Linked DNA regions of Schizosaccharomyces pombe. The protein of the gene in region 3 purifies or fractionates together with the protein of the main gene of each other region. This does not show direct contact. Each region holds a gene or a part of one and is shown on either strand. Other genes may lie near its edges.

Region 1 (4,315 bases), on a different chromosome or scaffold from region 3:
TTGATTACTGTAACTTGCCTATTTTTTACATTCGTAGTGTAATCATAATTACCGTCCAAATATTCAAGTAAAAAGCGGCGTTGTAGTCTGATGGAGATGCCCGTTATACAAATTGAGTAAAGCACTCATTTAAGACTGTTTTGCTATTTGGAACCTTTTTATTTTTTTTTTATTTTTTTTATTTGTTCTCTTGTGTGACGTGAGTTAGTAGTTAATCGCTGCGATTATAAAAGAAATTGATTTTTAATACACAAAGTATATCTTTAATTTATCTGAGCCGCGCTTTTTTTTATTTATTTAAAATTTCGTATCCTTGCATACAGGCTATATTTATTTACTTATTCAATTTTATTTTGTTTGCTCTTTTGGCATTTGACGGGGATATATATTTTAGAGAATTGAGTATTTTTACAAAAAAAAAAAAGACAAAATTAATGACAGAGCGATGTAAATAAGTAAAAGTACATTAGCATTTTTTCCTCAAATTCAAGATCCGTAGGCTATGATCTCTTCATGTTGCAAAATGTTTGTAGACAGGCTCCAAACTTTTAAAAAACTACTTATTCCAAAACATGCTTGCCTCAACGAAGTATCGCTACCGTTCTCTTTCGTTTTACTAACAAGTTCAATTTGTTTCTTGTTTTTGTATTAGTCGATTTTTAATATGCACAGGCTTGCATAAAGATAGTTAATTATAAATTTCATTTGTTTGATTTTAAGCTTAGCATTTCATTCAGCTCGACTTCAAGCTGACAATCCCCAATGCAAATATCCTTGCGTCTCGTTAGGCAGGTTACATTTCCAATAGTTTGAACGTAGCTTCCGCGTTATTATACTTTGCCAGTTTTAGTGCATTGTATAGCTACACAGTATTTTGGTTTTAAACTTAGCGAGATATCTCAAAACCCCTTGGCATGCTCTTAGCACGGTACTTAGCTGTAGATCCTTTTAAAATTTGCTAACAGATGTAAACTTGAAAACCAGATTTTTCGGCTTAATATATTCCATCTATCATTTAAATCTCTTTGATGATAACTTTCAAAAATTGAAGGAAATCCGATGTTGACGATGAAATCACTGTAGATACGAATGTTTACTCAACGAAATTACCATACAATTTGATGCCGATCATTTTAAAGACATTTTTAGCAAAATATAAGCAGTCAAACTAGTAGAAATTTTTACAAAAAAAAGCCATATACGAGGTTTGTTTAGTACAAATGACTATACGATCGCAATAATATAGTAATCAAATGAGCCACAGGAGGCAGCAGCTGTGTATAATCGGAAATTAAAATCCTAGTAAAGATACACCCGATCTATAGAAATGATATTCTTGTGTTCATTATTTTTCAAGTTTTGTAAACTATTATTAATTTTGCATACTAGCAAAGACCATTTACAACAAATAGTGCAACCTACTTTTGAAAACTTTTGTAATCAGAAGACGAATATGCTGGACTAAAATAAACATTAACTGCATCTTGTTCTACGATTGTTATATTGAGATGGTTTATTTATTAATTGTATGGATAAAGCTTTTTTCAATCAGTCTTGAATTTCAGAGTCAATACAAGTTAAAAATAAATCAATTTTGGAATTAACTTCCCTTGTATATTTCACTTCCAAGGTATTTATATTTGGATGAAATACAATAATAAAAAATAGCTCTATTACTTCAGAAAAATTCGCTGAATGTGTTCAATTTGATATGCTAGAGAAGGTACAATATTATAGATAAATAGGGCTATTTACTAATTTTGGTTGAAACGTTTGTAGGAAACCGTCTTCAGTACTTCGATATTATATACAAAACTTATTCAATAGATGTCTAACGAGCACACATAATACAAATAATATCTAAGAAACTTGTATTGTCATCATGTAACATAGAATTAAAAGTTTACACATTTAAACAAACTGAGTAATTTAATGTAGCTAAATAGATATAGTGCTAAACACTCATGAAACAGCAGATGAATAATCATCCTTCATTTTTTGAGTACGCATTTTGCGATTGAAAGATCCATGATCCATTATTTATTATATTAAATACTTGTGTTTTAGCAAAATTTATTACATTACTCCAAAAATTATCTTATGTTTGAGTATTGCTTAGCGAAGCTGCAATTTTCAACCCCCTTTATCACACCGCTTAAACATCTCATCTTAAAACGAAGTAGCGGCTTTGCTCTATTTTACTCATCACAATGGAAGATGAAATGCAAATAGACAAGAAGGAGGTGGAAATTGAACAAAAACCTCCTCGATTTGAAATTAAAAAGGTTCGTCATTATTTTTATGATCATGTTCTTCATGTGTATCAAATTTGCCATAAAGCAAAGTAAACTGTGAAAATTAATACCCAAAGATATATTTGCTATTTTAAAATAAGCATACACTTAAGTACTAGTTTACTCTCTTTGCTTTTTTTATGAGTTCTTCTGATTCATATTGCTTACCTTCAATTTAGTGGAATGCTGTAGCATTATGGCAATGGGACATTGTTGTAGATAACTGTGCTATCTGCAGAAATCATATTATGGACTTATGTATTGAGTGTCAAGCTAACACCGATTCTGCTGCTGCTCAAGAGTGCACAGTGGCATGGGGAACTTGTAATGTAAGTTTTAATTCGATTTCTTTCGTATTCTTAGCTCAGGACTGTTTTTAACAAATACAAAAGCATGCATTTCACTTTCACTGCATCTCAAGATGGTTAAACACTAGGAATGTTTGTCCTTTGGACAATCGTGAATGGGAGTTCCAACGTTATGGTAGGGTATATTAAGACGAGCCTACTTTACTAACTTTATCTCAGGTCATTAATAACATTTATTAAGTACTTACTTTTTTGTTGGTAAAAATATTTCAATGGAGCAGAGCGTTTTATTAATGAAATGACATGAATCAATTAAAATTTCCTAAAATCATGACTACTTGTGGCTAGTTTAAGTTTCCATGTGACTTTGAATTGTTATTTATATTTATTTACTCCAATTACTCAGATAGTGGACGAATATATCAATTTATTTTATTGCTTGTCAAATAAAATTTCCTACAGACAGTTTTTAACTACACATCATATAAATTAAGACATTATATCACTACTTTGTATACACTTGAAGAATTAGAACATTACTTAAATCATCAAAAGAAATGGCATACTTCTAAAGTGCTATTGTTAAAATTGAATAGGCATACAGACATTATGCTGCATATCGCATGACAGAATGCGAATCATTGCTTTCGAGAAGAATGTCAGTGGTGAGATACAAAAGCTCAGTAGTGCACGGATTTTCTATACTTGCCAATCAATTCACAAATTCAGTTAACTTTTAAATAAGAACAAACAGCTTTATGAAAATTACCATCTGATGTTTAAAACCTTCAGTTTATCAGACTTGGTGTTTTCGTTAATAGTGGGTAGGCATAAAAAGATTCGTGGTACTTTGACTCTTTATTCGCCTAATACTAATGTTTCTGTCGCCTTCGTCACTTCCCACTATAGAGAGACCTACATTCATCTGACTTTTTAAGTGATACTAAAAAGTCGGATACTTTTTATATAAAGACTGTAAAAAGCATCCCTATGTGATTGAATGTGTATATATCCATCTCTTTAAAGGTTTGATAGGGTAGGGTCATTTCAGCATGAAAGACGGTTATAAAATTATTGGGTTTATCTCATCTGGAACTTATGGAAAGGTTTATAAAGCGGTTTCATCTAATTCGAATGATAAACGACTGTTTGCAATTAAAAAGTTCAAAGCTGAGTCAAAGCAAGTAAGCTCGAATGCTCAACAAACCGGCGTTTCTCAAAGTGCTATTCGTGAAATGATGCTGTGTAGAGAAATTCAGCATGAAAATATAGTTAGCTTGGTTCAAGTTTTACTCAAAGATGGCACAATTAGCATGGTTTTTGAATACGCCGAACACGATCTGTTGCAAATTATTCATTTCCATAGCCGATCTAGAACAAGACAAATTCCACCATCAATTTTAAAAAGTATTCTATGGCAGATCATTAATGGTGTAGCATACCTACATGAAAACTGGATTATGCATCGAGATTTGAAACCAGCAAACATAATGATTACAGCTACAGGCAAGGTAAAAATTGGGGACCTAGGGCTGGGAAGGCTCATTCGGGATCCCATATTACCATTTTATTCCAGCGATCGTGTAGTAGTTACTATTTGGTATCGTGCGCCAGAGCTACTTTTGGGAGCTCACGATTATACCCCAGCAATAGATGTTTGGGCAATTGGTTGTATTTATGGAGAAATGCTTGCTCTTTCTCCTCTTTTCAAAG
Region 2 (6,412 bases), on a different chromosome or scaffold from region 3:
TCTCATTCACGTTACCATCCGAAGGGGTTTTGCGATTTAAATCGCCACGTACATTATACATGATAAATCCAACGAAACCAGTTAAATCCCAAGAAAGAAGAACAAAAATGAATGAAAAGAAAGCTTAGTTAAAGAAGATTTCGCGCTTAGACACGTAACCACAAAAAGTCTTCGCTGAGTTGTGACAGCAAATAGTCTTCAAAATACTTCCAGCAAGTAAAAAAAAAAAAAAAACGTTAAACAAAAAACAAAAAGAATCTAAAGGAAAAAGATGATGAGCCTCAATCTCGAGAACGAAAGCTAATTCACTTGAAAATTTTCCTTTTTCTTGTAAAGTGCTCGAAAGCACTTTTCGCGTAAACGCACAAAGTATTTAAAAAATAAATACAAAAGAATGAATACTTGTAGCGATTTTGGAACGCTGGTGTACCTCACCAAGGTGGAAATACGGAAAGGTAGTATATAGGACTAGGCAAACTCCAAATGGTTGTTTGCGGACAATAGCGAGGCAAAGTCGGCGGAAGTTTAAAAAGACTTGAATGAAAGAACAACTAGGTATTCTTTTTACAGATTAATAAAAGGAACAGGATTTTAAAATGGATAGTTAACCTTCCAAGTGTTGAAAAAAAAATTAAAAACAAAAGCCAAATTAATGACTTAAAAGTCCAAGTAACTTTTTTGAAATAAAGTTTGGTCAGTTCATAAAACAAGTATTTTCTTTTTTTTTTTTTTTTTTTGAGAAAAAAGAGGATTTGTTTACAGAAAAAAACAGGAAAGCAGAAAGACAGCGGTTTGAATAGCACAAGCTGAACTAGCTTATTTATAACGAAATTTTAAGTAAATACTGGAGACAAAGGTTAGTTATCCTCCCCCAATAAGATAACTGAGAAAAAGTCGATTAAGATAAAATTATGGAGAGAGAAATCAAAAGAAAGAAGAAAGGCCTAAAATAATAAGAAGATTGTATAATGACTATGGATTACTACTTTAAAATATATCTCTTAATATCACAGTATATAAACACTCTTGACTATTAGTGTGGAAATTGATGATGGATTGCAAAGAAAAGATGAGCGGATAGTTTCTAGAAAAAATTTTGGAATTCAAAAGACGAAGCAGTGATGTAAATAGCTTTTTTGCAGAGTTTCTTATGTTGAAATTGAATAATTACATAGAAACTTGAAGGTTCAAGGTTCATAAAAACGGAGAAAATGGGATATAATAGCAAATAAAAGAGAGAAACAGATATTATGTTTGTTTTTTAGAAAGAATCTCAACAAATTACAGATATTTTGATTGTATTGGAATACTAAACAAAAAAATATGTAAGTAAATAGTCAAGTGAGCAAAGTAGAACAATGCTGGCCACGCGTTAAAGGGGGAAAGGTGGTTAGCGAAGAATGGAATGTTTTCAACTCATTATTGCCATTCTACGAATATAAAAACACCTAAATTGTAAAAAAAAATAAAAAAAATAAAGCAAGCAAGTTTAAGTGATAAAGGAGGAAGCTAATTAGTTATGAAATTGAGAATAATTTTTGGTCTTATTCAGAATTAATAATAATTCGTCTGTTCCTAAGTGAATATAGAAAGCAGACTCCAAACGTGCGTATCCAAGCGCATTCTATTACTTTTATTTTAGTAGGTAAATGATAAAAAGTTCAATTTGAGGCCGCTTTTGATGCATCAACATTTTGCGACAATTTTACTTAGGAATTGGCTACCGTTAACGGCACTCAGAATTGTTTGAGGATGAGGCTCTGATGGTAAACAATAGATGGCGGTGCTCAAAAGATGGTATGAAGAGGTAATTTGTAGCGCGTTTGAGAAAGAGAAGGAAAAGTATTTCTGTTTTACAACATCTATGAAAGAGCATCCTGTTATGTTGGCCACATTGAAAATGTCAACCTATTTGAGGTCCAAATTAAACCCTTTTCAACATTTGTAAATATTTCATGGGTTTGAGATTTTCATTTAGTACAATATTACTATACACTTGTCAGAGATATCTTTTACACCATATGTGTATTTGCATCGAGCACTCAATATCCAGCGGATCGCATACATCATTCTTTTGGCAGAACAATAACTCAAATTTAAAGGATTTCTTTGGCATATTCATGTATATGTTGATAAATATTGGCTTTATGTCTTTGTTTTCATAATAATAAATGCGTTAATGAAGAATTTTTTAATATAATAATTATTTACTTAAAAAAAAATTAGATATTAAATATAATCTTATAAAGCACTTTTATAATGAGCTTTTGCTACGTACACCTGGCTACCTCTTGTACCTTCGTTCACTTCGTCGTTACCTGTAGGTTCTTGAAAGGATCAGTGCTACTATTTACTACGTTTACTCTATCTGCCATCTAAGAAAGAGCAATTGTGTGCTGAATAAAATATATTTTACTTGTTATACATTTATAACCATTTTGGTTAATGACTACTTTGAATACCAACGATAAAGACCTCCCGATTGTTAAAAAATATGATTCATTGAATGGAACGTATGTTACATTGTAACTGATTGACGATTGCTGATCTATATGCAGTTGGGACTTTTTAAAAACAGGTGTGTCCCAAATATTTGAAAGGCTAGATGAAGGAATGACTATCACTAAGTATATGGAGCTTTATACGTAAGTTAGTCCAATATTTTGAGATCTGAATACTAGTATATTAGTTATCAGATATTTCATGGCACCTATATTTATATACTTACATACTTTATTTTTAGAGCAATCCATAACTACTGTGCTGATGCGTCCAAAACTATAACGGTGGACAATTTCAACGATCAAAGTACGTAAAAAATAGATAAAAATTTATATTTTGACTCAGAATTTGTCAAAAAGAAGAACTACATATATTTTCTTATGATTATTTTCACTGGATTCTAACTGTATGTGCTAGCTGCAAACGTTTTAGGCGAAGCCCTTTACAATAATTTGGTTCTATATCTGGAAGAGTATTTGGCCCGTCTGCGAAAGGTGAGTTTAAATATCGGTTTTTTATTTATAATTCTACGACAAAGATTTCATTGCACCTCGAGTGTTCAGCAGTTTTCTTTAATTTCTAAACATTTTCTCTGGACATTTTAAAGAGTGCTAGCATAAGCATCTGGTCTTTTATTATGATTAAGGAATAAATTGCATTATGTGGTAATTTTTCTCGTGCTAATTGGCGCTTTAGGAATGCATTTCGCAAACGAATCATGAAGAGCAACTCGCTGCGTATGCCAAGTATTGGACGCGATTTACAACATCTGCCCGTTTTATCAACCATCTTTTTGGATATTTAAATAGATATTGGGTTAAACTGAAGAACAGATTTACTGAGACACTCGTGTACGACATTTACACACTTTGTCTTGTGTCATGGCATCATCACGTTTTTTCCCACATTCGCGATAGCCTACTTCAAAATTTGTTATACATGTTCACCAAAAAAAGATTATATGAACCTACTGATATGAAATATGTGGAAGTTTGTGTGGATTCTATCACTTCATTGAGCTTTGATAAAACCGATATGACAAAGCCTAACTTGAGCTCATACAAAACTTTTTTCGAAACAAACTTTATTGAAAATACAAAAAACTTTTATGCAAAGGAGTCTTCCGAATACTTGGCTTCCCATTCTATTACGGATTACTTAAAAAAGGCAGAAATAAGACTAGCAGAGGAGGAAGAGCTTGTGAGATTATATTTGCATGAATCCACATTGAAGCCGCTTTTAGAAGCGACTGAAGATGTACTAATTGCACAACATGAAGAAGTTTTGCACAACGACTTTGCACGCATGCTCGACCAAAACTGCAGTGAGGATATCATTCGCATGTACCGATTGATGTCTCGAACACCTAATGGGTTGCAGCCTTTACGCCAGACATTTGAGGAGTTTGTCAAGAGATCAGGCTTTGCTGCGGTTGCCAAAATTGTTCCCCAGGTCGGTGGAGAAGCCGATGTGGATCCTAAAGAGTATATGGAAATGTTACTTTCCACGTATAAAGCTTCCAAAGAACTTGTTAACACCGCATTTCATGGGGATACTGATTTTACAAAGTCATTGGATACAGCCTTTAGAGAACTTGTCAATCGAAATGTTGTTTGCCAGCGCTCTTCCTCTCGCTCCCCAGAGTTGCTTGCTAAATACGCCGACAGTATTTTGCGAAAAAGCAACAAGAATGTTGACATTGATGATGTTGAAGACTGTTTATCGTCGATTATCATTATTTTTCGTTATGTCGAAGACAAGGATGTTTTTCAAAACTTTTATACTAAGCTTTTAGCCAAGCGACTTGTGAATGGTACCTCTAATTCCCAGGATGCTGAATCTAGCATGCTATCTAAGTTAAAGGAAGTCTGCGGTTTTGAATATACTAGTAAGCTACAGCGTATGTTTCAAGACATCTCCTTGTCTCAAGAGATTACCGAAGCGTTTTGGCAACTCCCTCAGTCACGTGCTGGAAATATAGATTTCTCTGCTCTTGTACTTGGTACATCGTTTTGGCCTCTATCTCCCAACAATGTGAACTTTCATCTGCCAGAGGAATTAGTTCCTTTGTATGAAGGATTCCAAAACTATTACTATAGCTGCCATAACGGAAGGAAGTTAAGCTGGTTGTTCCATCTCTCTAAAGGAGAAATAAAGGCACGCATTAACCCTCAAACTAATGTCACTTATGTGTTTCAAGTTTCTACATATCAAATGGGTGTTTTGCTTTTGTACAACCATCGCGATTCTTATACATATGAGGAGCTGGCAAAAATAACTGGGTTAAGTACAGATTTCTTGACAGGGATTCTGAACATATTCCTAAAAGCAAAGGTGCTTCTCCTTGGCGACAATGACAAGCTTGGTGATCCTAATAGCACATATAAGATCAATGAAAATTTTAGGATGAAAAAGATACGGGTACAGTTAAATCTCCCAATTAGATCTGAGCAAAAGCAGGAATCTCTGGAGACTCATAAAACTATAGAAGAAGATCGAAAGTTACTGCTTCAATCCGCTATCGTCCGTATCATGAAGGCTCGCCGAACATTGAAACATGTAGTGTTAGTGAAAGAGACTATTGATCAAATTAAAAGCAGATTTACTCCTAAAGTGTCTGATATTAAGCAATGTATAGATATGTTAATCGAAAAAGAGTACCTGGAACGCCAAGGCCGCGATGAATACATTTACCTTGCTTGAGAGAAACATCTCCGCGAAATGCTCCAAAAAAAATGATATACTTTTCGAGTGTTATATATGTAATTAATCACGCAATACGAATTTTCTTTTTTCTTTTGTTTACATTCTTGTCTGCTAGTGATCTTTAATCCATTGAAACTAAGCTTTTAATAACGTAGGAAAGTCACCACTCCATTGAAGAAATGTGTAGCTTAGCTACATGCAAGCTATGCAACTTTTTTTTACTACTAGTTACTGGATAGCAACAACAAACTTCTATTATCCCATCATTTTACGTGGATAAGTCGTACAATGAAAAAGAAAAGAAAACAGTTATCGACCACATACATGCACCATTTCACGAAGTACAGATGCTTGAAATTGTGAAAGGATGTCAAAGATATGTTTTATATAATACATTTATTGTCAATTGTCGTCTTCGTCTTCCTCTGCAAATCGCTTGATTCTGTTAAAAAAGACATATATTGATTATTCAGCACGAAGAACGAAATGGTGCTTACAAATTAAAAAAAATTAATTGATCAGACTAATTAAGGCAATTTTAACGTTTTTATTGATTTACTACTTCCAGGTGTTGCTGGAGTGTTCATGGATGAAATGGATGATTCCGGTACATTCCGGTGCCAACACCATAGTATGACATAAATGAGTAAACATCGCGGTTCGCTCATTCTTCTTCAACACACCATCTTCCTTGACATATCGTTCTGAAAAAAAATACTAGGAAGAGAATCGTAGCATAATGGCGACTTTATTTCATCTTATAGATGTACATGGTAATGAATATCAAAATGTGCAAGACCACAGCCTTCAAATGGCCTTAGAAGAGCTGAATCAACAAATCGAAGTGATTCAACGCCAAGAAGAACAATTGGCTTTGCGAAAGAAGGCAATTGAGGATGCAAGGCAAGAAGTGCTCCAGCAAATTCAACATCGAAAATTCCGTCAATACTTGCATGAACGGGAACAAGAGGCTCGTTTGCAAGAGTATTATTTGGAGCAACTGCAAGAGCGTAGAGCTTTTGAAAATGTTGTACGGACTATAATCAGAAAGCGATTTGAGGATGAGGAGCGTGAAAGAGCTCATCGCAGGGAAAAGGCGGCTCGAAAGTTGCTACGCAGAATACTTGTCTCCGATTCACCCAATATGCAGCTTGTAGTGCCAAATAATTTCCAGCAAATGTTTATTCATCATCCAGTCGTAGAC
Region 3 (6,101 bases):
CTACGGTATTTAAAAACACGCCAGCTTTAGTTGCTTCTCCTTTTGATAATTGAAAGCGTTCCATTTTTGTAATAATTTGTACGACTTTTTCTTCGTCTTTGCACTCTGTTTTTACGTTACCACTTAAAAATAACTTTATTACAAACCTTTCTGAACGTTGATAAGCTTGATAAAACTCTCATGAAGTCTGTTAAAAAATTTACAAACAAAAGACTCACAACATATTTTCTCTTCACTTCCAGGGTTAATTGTAAATGAAAATATCTCCTTTTCAACCGCGTCATCCTCTAATATTGACTTGCATTGTGACGAAATAATCAGGTAAACAGTAAATGGAACTTTCATTGATACAAGTGAGAAAATATAAGTTTTCTAAAATATTAGTTTATTTCTTTAGATAAGTTTTAAACACTCACCATCATTTCCAAAAAACTGTCTGCTTCTTTGTCCACTCCAGCTTGTAAAGAAACCACAGTAGGTTTCAATTGACAATCAAAGTCAGCTCCTTTAAAATGTTCAATTTCGAAATTGACTTTCTTGTAGCAGTTTTCATTGAAAAGAGCACTTGCCTTCTGTTAGCTATTTTAATTTAAAAATTATATGTCTGCGTACCGCTTATAGCATAATGTTGATATCGCGAAGAAAATTAAATTTTTAAGAGTAAAGTCAGACTTAGTTTGCAGAATTTCCTCTTTGTATGAATTCATTTGTCATTTATACTTAGAAGTAAAGGGTATTTGATAAGTTGATATCTATATATGGTAATTTTGTGAACGCGTCGAACGCGTCTTAAGTGTACGTATATTACAGTCCCACCTGTGGTTTTCCAACACTTTAAACTACACTAAAATGGCTTACATAGATAAATGGAATGCGAAAAGCATGTTTTACGATGAAGACATTTGGTAGCTTATGAAGTAATGTAAAAGCCTTTTGTTAAATTAAATGTCTTTTTACATTTACAAAGCTAAAATGTTTGTTTTTTTATTTACTATAGTTTGCTAATTATAAAAATATAGTACGCTTTTGGGTAGAATGGACGCTATTTGAAGCTAAGGATTCAAGAAATTCGCTTATCCCTTTGGTAAAAAAATTTTGGCCTCAACAAACGAATTTAACACTAAATAATTTATAAATGTAGAATAGATCATTTAAAAAAATATTATTTTGCATTCTTATTAGATATTTAAAAAAGAAAATTATGAGTAAACATTTAAAAGTCAACAAACAATTAGACAAATATTATATGATAGAGGAGTTTCCAGAATAAATAGCATGAATCTATTTCAGTTTGGAAACGTAAAATAAAATTTCGAGATCTTTTATAGATTTCTAGTATCTCAACTTATAAAAGCTCAAGAAGATTTAGTAGATCCAAACTCTAGGACCTCGATCCAAAAACGGTTATTTCTTAAAACAGCAGCCACACATACATTTTCATTATAAGCAACTTGCCAGATTATATCCAAATCAGTCAATAGGTCTCTTACTAACTTTCCGGAACGAATGTCCCATAACTGTAGCGTACTATGGCTTCCACTGACAACTTTGCTCTCGTCGTGTTGAAAAAATATGTGTCCCAAAGGACATTTTAAAATATCTCGACAACTTCCGGTGTTTAGATCCCAAACTCTCAACGATGTATCAGGAGGAGCAGAAGCGGATACCAAGATATTTTGGTTAAATGTAACTTGACTTACCAAATTCGAATGACCATGAAGGGTCTGTAGAAGTTCTCCAGACTCAAGGTTCCAAATACGAATTTTAGCATCCGTACCAGCGCTGATACATTGTTGACGAGAAGGATTAATTGTGACACTGTATACTCTCCCGACGTGTCCCCGAAGAACATGTAAACAAACGCCAGTAGATGCCTTCCATACTCTAAGAGTACCATCATAACTGGCACTGACAATCAAATCTCCAAGACAAGCAACTTCACGTACCGAGTCCGTATGACCACGTAATGTTCGGATGTAAAACGGATTGGTCGTAGCTGAAGTAAAGTCATTATTCTGATCAGGATTTTCATTTACATTAACAAATGGTGGATCGTCAAGGCATGGAAGACTCCATAAACGGATCGTACAATCCCTTGAACTTGAAATTATATACGGAGGCATTGAATTAGCATCATTTGAAGCTGGTCTGTTTTCTTTTTCCACATCATCAGTATCAGTAGTACTTTGATTGCCTTGAACTATTTTGATACAACGGATTGTTGACGTGTGTCCATAAAACACCTGTTTACATTCACCGGTTCTAAGGTCCCAGACTCTTACTGTCCTGTCTGTGGAGCCAGTAACCAAAGTATCCCCAACGTATTCAAAAGTCCAAACATCACCTTCATGCTCTTCTAAACTGCGTATCAGGACACCTGTTTTCGTGTCATATATATTAATTCTAGGACTGCAGGTGCTAACAATTATTTTGTCATCATCAAACTGAAGTTTGGTAATAAGACGAACTCCATGAATTGGGAATGAACATCGCTTAATTTTCTCCGGGGCATGGAGCCATCTTTCACGAAGATTAAAATGTCTAAAATAGACCCGCTTCATTATCGCACAGGCTGACAAAGATTGTTCTAAACACATCGTACGGATTTTACTATCAATTGAATCCCAAAAGAAACCATCTTTTAAAAAGAGACTTTTCCAAAGTTCTTCGTTGGACGATACCAACTTATACCAGTGATGCGAAACTTGCGAAACTGCACACAATGAAGGTGCATCTAAATGCGTAAGCACTAAATTTGTAATCTCAGCCGGAAATCCAGTTAAAAAGTTCTTTTGAAAGATAGGAAGCAGAATTTTGTGAATATTTTGAACAGCATGTTTTCCACATCGAGAAAGAAGATGAAAAAGTAAGTATTGACGAACACTTTCGGGTAATTTTTCGAAGGAAGAAATTAATTGTGCTAATTTCAAAACAGCATTTTTTTGAGAGCTCAAATGATTAGAAGGATGAATGCTAGGATTTTCTGAAGAAAAATCATATATGACAGGTTCATGCAAAGAATTATGTGAAGATGAAGATGAATGAGGGGGAAAAGATTGACGGGTTTTGGAATCGTTGCCGAGTAAATTAGGAGAAAAATAAGAGTAATTAACAGAATTATTTGGTGCATCAAGTGAGAATGTTGTTTCACTAGCGACTTCCTTACTGTCACAGTTGTTTGGGTAGAAAACGTTCGAGTAGTTAGTAGAAGGAAAAGTTTCATTCTTTTTATTCCCATCACTTTGAGAATTGAAGAGAAACCGCTTATTAGCATGCAAATTAGAGCTGAGACTAGAGTTACGGCGTTTAAGGCACTTTTCGCGATGCTCTGACGGCAGCTCACAACTCAAATGGGGCCGGTTAAGATCACAATGTAGATATAAAAGATTTTGCAAGTTTTCCAAATTTTCTTTATCAGATAAACATCGATTGTTAGTAAATATCATCGATTGCTGACTTCCCTTGCTATCAAATTGTAGACTAACACGACTAAGCTCCTCGGGAATTCTGGTCATTATATTATTTCCTTCCAGGAGATCTTTTTTAGTGGAACATGGAGAAAATCTCTCGACATTTGGCCGGGGAGAAGAGGAAACATCAATACTCGGTGATACCATAGTTGTCTCACCGAAAAATTCATTGGAATCTAAAACAGATAGGCTATCTTTTTTCTTCTCATTCATTTCAAGTAGTTTACAGACACTTAGTAGAAAAGTATTTGTCAAGTTCTTTTATGATGTTAGAGAACCTGGTTCAAGAATCGATACTGATGAATTTACTTAAAACAACTGCCCGTTGGGAAACATGTATATGAAATTATTTTGCAAATAGTTATCGTCTTAATGCATTAGAGCAATACTTTTTCTTGGTTTTTTTGAAGTTCAGCGAGATAGATCGTAAAGACCATAAACTCTTGGCAATGAATTTTAAATTCACTCTACGCAAGCGGAGGTGTAAGTAACACCAGAATAAGTAACAATTTTACTGTTGATTAAGAAAAGTTTTTATAGTTTATGGTAAATACGACTAAATCGCGACATAACAATAGTTCAATAAGAAAAGTTATATGACTTAGTTATGGCTCCTCAATATTATTTTTTTTTACATTATTTGCGATAGTGTTTTAATTGTATACCAGATATTAACCTCCTCAGCATTTTCAAATAAATTCTCTAAAGACAAAAACAATGAACACGTGAAGTATTCATATTATAAAATTGTCTTTTCCGTTGCGTTTTTGCAGCTAAAGAATGCAGACACAATAGTAGCTCGCGAATTTCATTACACGCCAATAAAGTTGGGAAAGAGATTACCCTCCCCTGTCATATTCTAAATGACACGGACACATATAATAATTTATTAATAAAATTTGAGCATGAGCGTAAAATGTAAAATGTCAGACTAAGATGGCGTTTCTAGTACATCATTTTCTTAGGCCGTTGAAAGAAATTTTTTGTCTCGTCAATGACATGCATCGGGTAATTTCGGCAGGCATTGGGCTATTATTCGACTTCTCTCCATTCAAAATTTGACTTAATCTCAGTATCCAAAGAAGCGTCAAATACGCTACCAAGATAAATAATTAAATTGTTATCCGTAAAAGTTCTTAGCATAGCAAACCGATAAACCGAGTGTAAACACGATATTAATTAATTAATATTATATCATATTTAATGAGCTGCAGAACATCATTTGCCGAAATGCACCGAGCCTCTTATATCTAGGATGATTTGTATGTACCAGATTACTTTCCCAAGAGATTATTAAATATATTTAATAGTATTAGGAGAAAATCAATATAACGTTGAGTCGAGCCAACGTATTTGTAAGTTAGGTATACAGGGATGTCATTAGGCTTACGTACACCGCGCAATTCAATTGCAAAAGGCCCAGGGGACCAAGAACTTCCTTATGATAAGAAAGCTAAAGCGATAAACAAAAATTAAATTACTTGGCTTGGAAATAATAATAATTTGCTTTGAAATGAATGATTGAACGCCCCGCGACCCCGGGACAGTATAAATTTTCCTGGGGTAGATCAAATTCACGCATTTAATTGGTTGAATTTATCAACTGACTTTTAAGTTCATTTTTAATTAAGTTATCAGCCAATGAATACAAAGCCGATAGCAAGGCAAGCAATGATTGGAGCGCAATAGTTGACTGTTTTGGCGCTAATTATTTCGGGTTTATGGTTAGAAATTTTCTGAAAAAATCAACGTTGAAAACTTACAGGCTTTCATGGTTAATTAGTGGCAAAACGCCACGGCTCTTAATCAAAAGATGGTGAAGTGCTTGAAAAAAGAAATGTATATAAAGCTGAGCTGATTTTTAGGGAAAAGCCGTGAGCTGAAATTAAACAATCAGAACCGCAAAAGGTAAAGACCATTATATTCTTTACCATCTTTCTTTTATTTTCTAGTATCAAGTTACTAGCATATCCTATCGTTTATAAAGTCAATCGTTAGATTCCTGTCAAATCTTTTAAATCTAAAAATGCTCTTTAACAACTTTCTTTGTTTTGCGGTTTCCGCCATTCCTTTGGTTTCAGCTATGCCTCTTGGTAATGCTCCCTATCACCATCACCATCATGCCGGTTTGAATGCTAGCAATATAACTGTTGGTGTCAATGTCACAAACACTACCGCTTTTTCAAAAAGAGACGGTGGTTTTCCTGACGGCGTATACGACTGCTCCTCTTTTCCTGATGATCAAAATGGCGTTGTCCGCCTTGATTACTTAGGTTTTGGAGGATGGTCTGGTGTTCAGAAGAATGATGGTAAATACGGAACAGCTTCTACATGCCAAGATAACACATACTGTTCCTATGCATGCAAGCCCGGAATGTCTAAGACCCAATGGCCGTCTGAGCAGCCTGACAATGGCGTTTCCGTTGGTGGTTTGTATTGCAAGAACGGTAAATTATATCTCACCCAGAAGGATAATTCTAATCTTTGTGAAGATGGAAAGGGTACTGCCTATGTTAAAAATACATTGAGTTCCAATGTCGCAATTTGCCGTACCGATTACCCCGGAACTGAGAACATGAATATCCCTACCAATATTGATGGTGGTTCAAAACAACCTCTTTCTGATGTTGA

The links. Proteins that work in one complex are often made in the same cells at the same time.
Region 1: the proteins of pop1 (region 3) and rbx1 purify together in Schizosaccharomyces pombe (affinity purification with western blotting; one study listed by BioGRID). This does not show direct contact.
Region 2: the proteins of pop1 (region 3) and cul1 purify together in Schizosaccharomyces pombe (affinity purification with western blotting; 3 studies listed by BioGRID, with this or other methods). This does not show direct contact.

What each region holds. Positions count from the first base shown.
Region 1 is NC_003424.3:1,573,200-1,577,514, forward strand, and holds rbx1 (SCF complex, Cul4-RING and CLRC ubiquitin ligase ligase E3 subunit Rbx1), read left to right. Parts: upstream 1-2,145; 5' UTR 2,146-2,210; coding exon 2,211-2,285; exon of another isoform or gene 2,286-2,473; coding exon 2,474-2,623; exon of another isoform or gene 2,624-2,686; coding exon 2,687-2,777; exon of another isoform or gene 2,778-2,801; intron 2,802-2,821; coding exon 2,822-2,829; 3' UTR 2,830-3,108; downstream 3,109-4,315. Other genes in the region: mediator complex cyclin-dependent protein kinase subunit Srb10, read left to right, coding at 3,655-4,315. UniProt on the Schizosaccharomyces pombe protein: Component of E3 ubiquitin ligase SCF complexes, which mediate the ubiquitination and subsequent proteasomal degradation of target proteins.
Region 2 is NC_003424.3:3,609,679-3,616,090, forward strand, and holds cul1 (cullin 1), read left to right. Parts: upstream 1-2,378; 5' UTR 2,379-2,445; coding exon 2,446-2,513; intron 2,514-2,558; coding exon 2,559-2,645; intron 2,646-2,743; coding exon 2,744-2,808; intron 2,809-2,919; coding exon 2,920-2,996; exon of another isoform or gene 2,997-3,198; coding exon 3,199-5,205; downstream 5,206-6,412. Other genes in the region: ghs2 (glucosidase), read right to left, coding at 1-61; protein slt1, read left to right, coding at 5,948-6,412. UniProt on the Schizosaccharomyces pombe protein: Core component of multiple cullin-RING-based SCF (SKP1-CUL1-F-box protein) E3 ubiquitin-protein ligase complexes, which mediate the ubiquitination of target proteins.
Region 3 is NC_003423.3:3,466,925-3,473,025, reverse strand, and holds pop1 (cullin 1 adaptor protein Pop1), read right to left. Parts: upstream 3,899-6,101; 5' UTR 3,684-3,898; coding exon 1,356-3,683; 3' UTR 1,141-1,355; downstream 1-1,140. Other genes in the region: synaptonemal complex-associated protein hop1, read right to left, coding at 1-165, 204-372, 417-564, 613-707; beta-glucosidase Psu2, read left to right, coding at 5,497-6,101.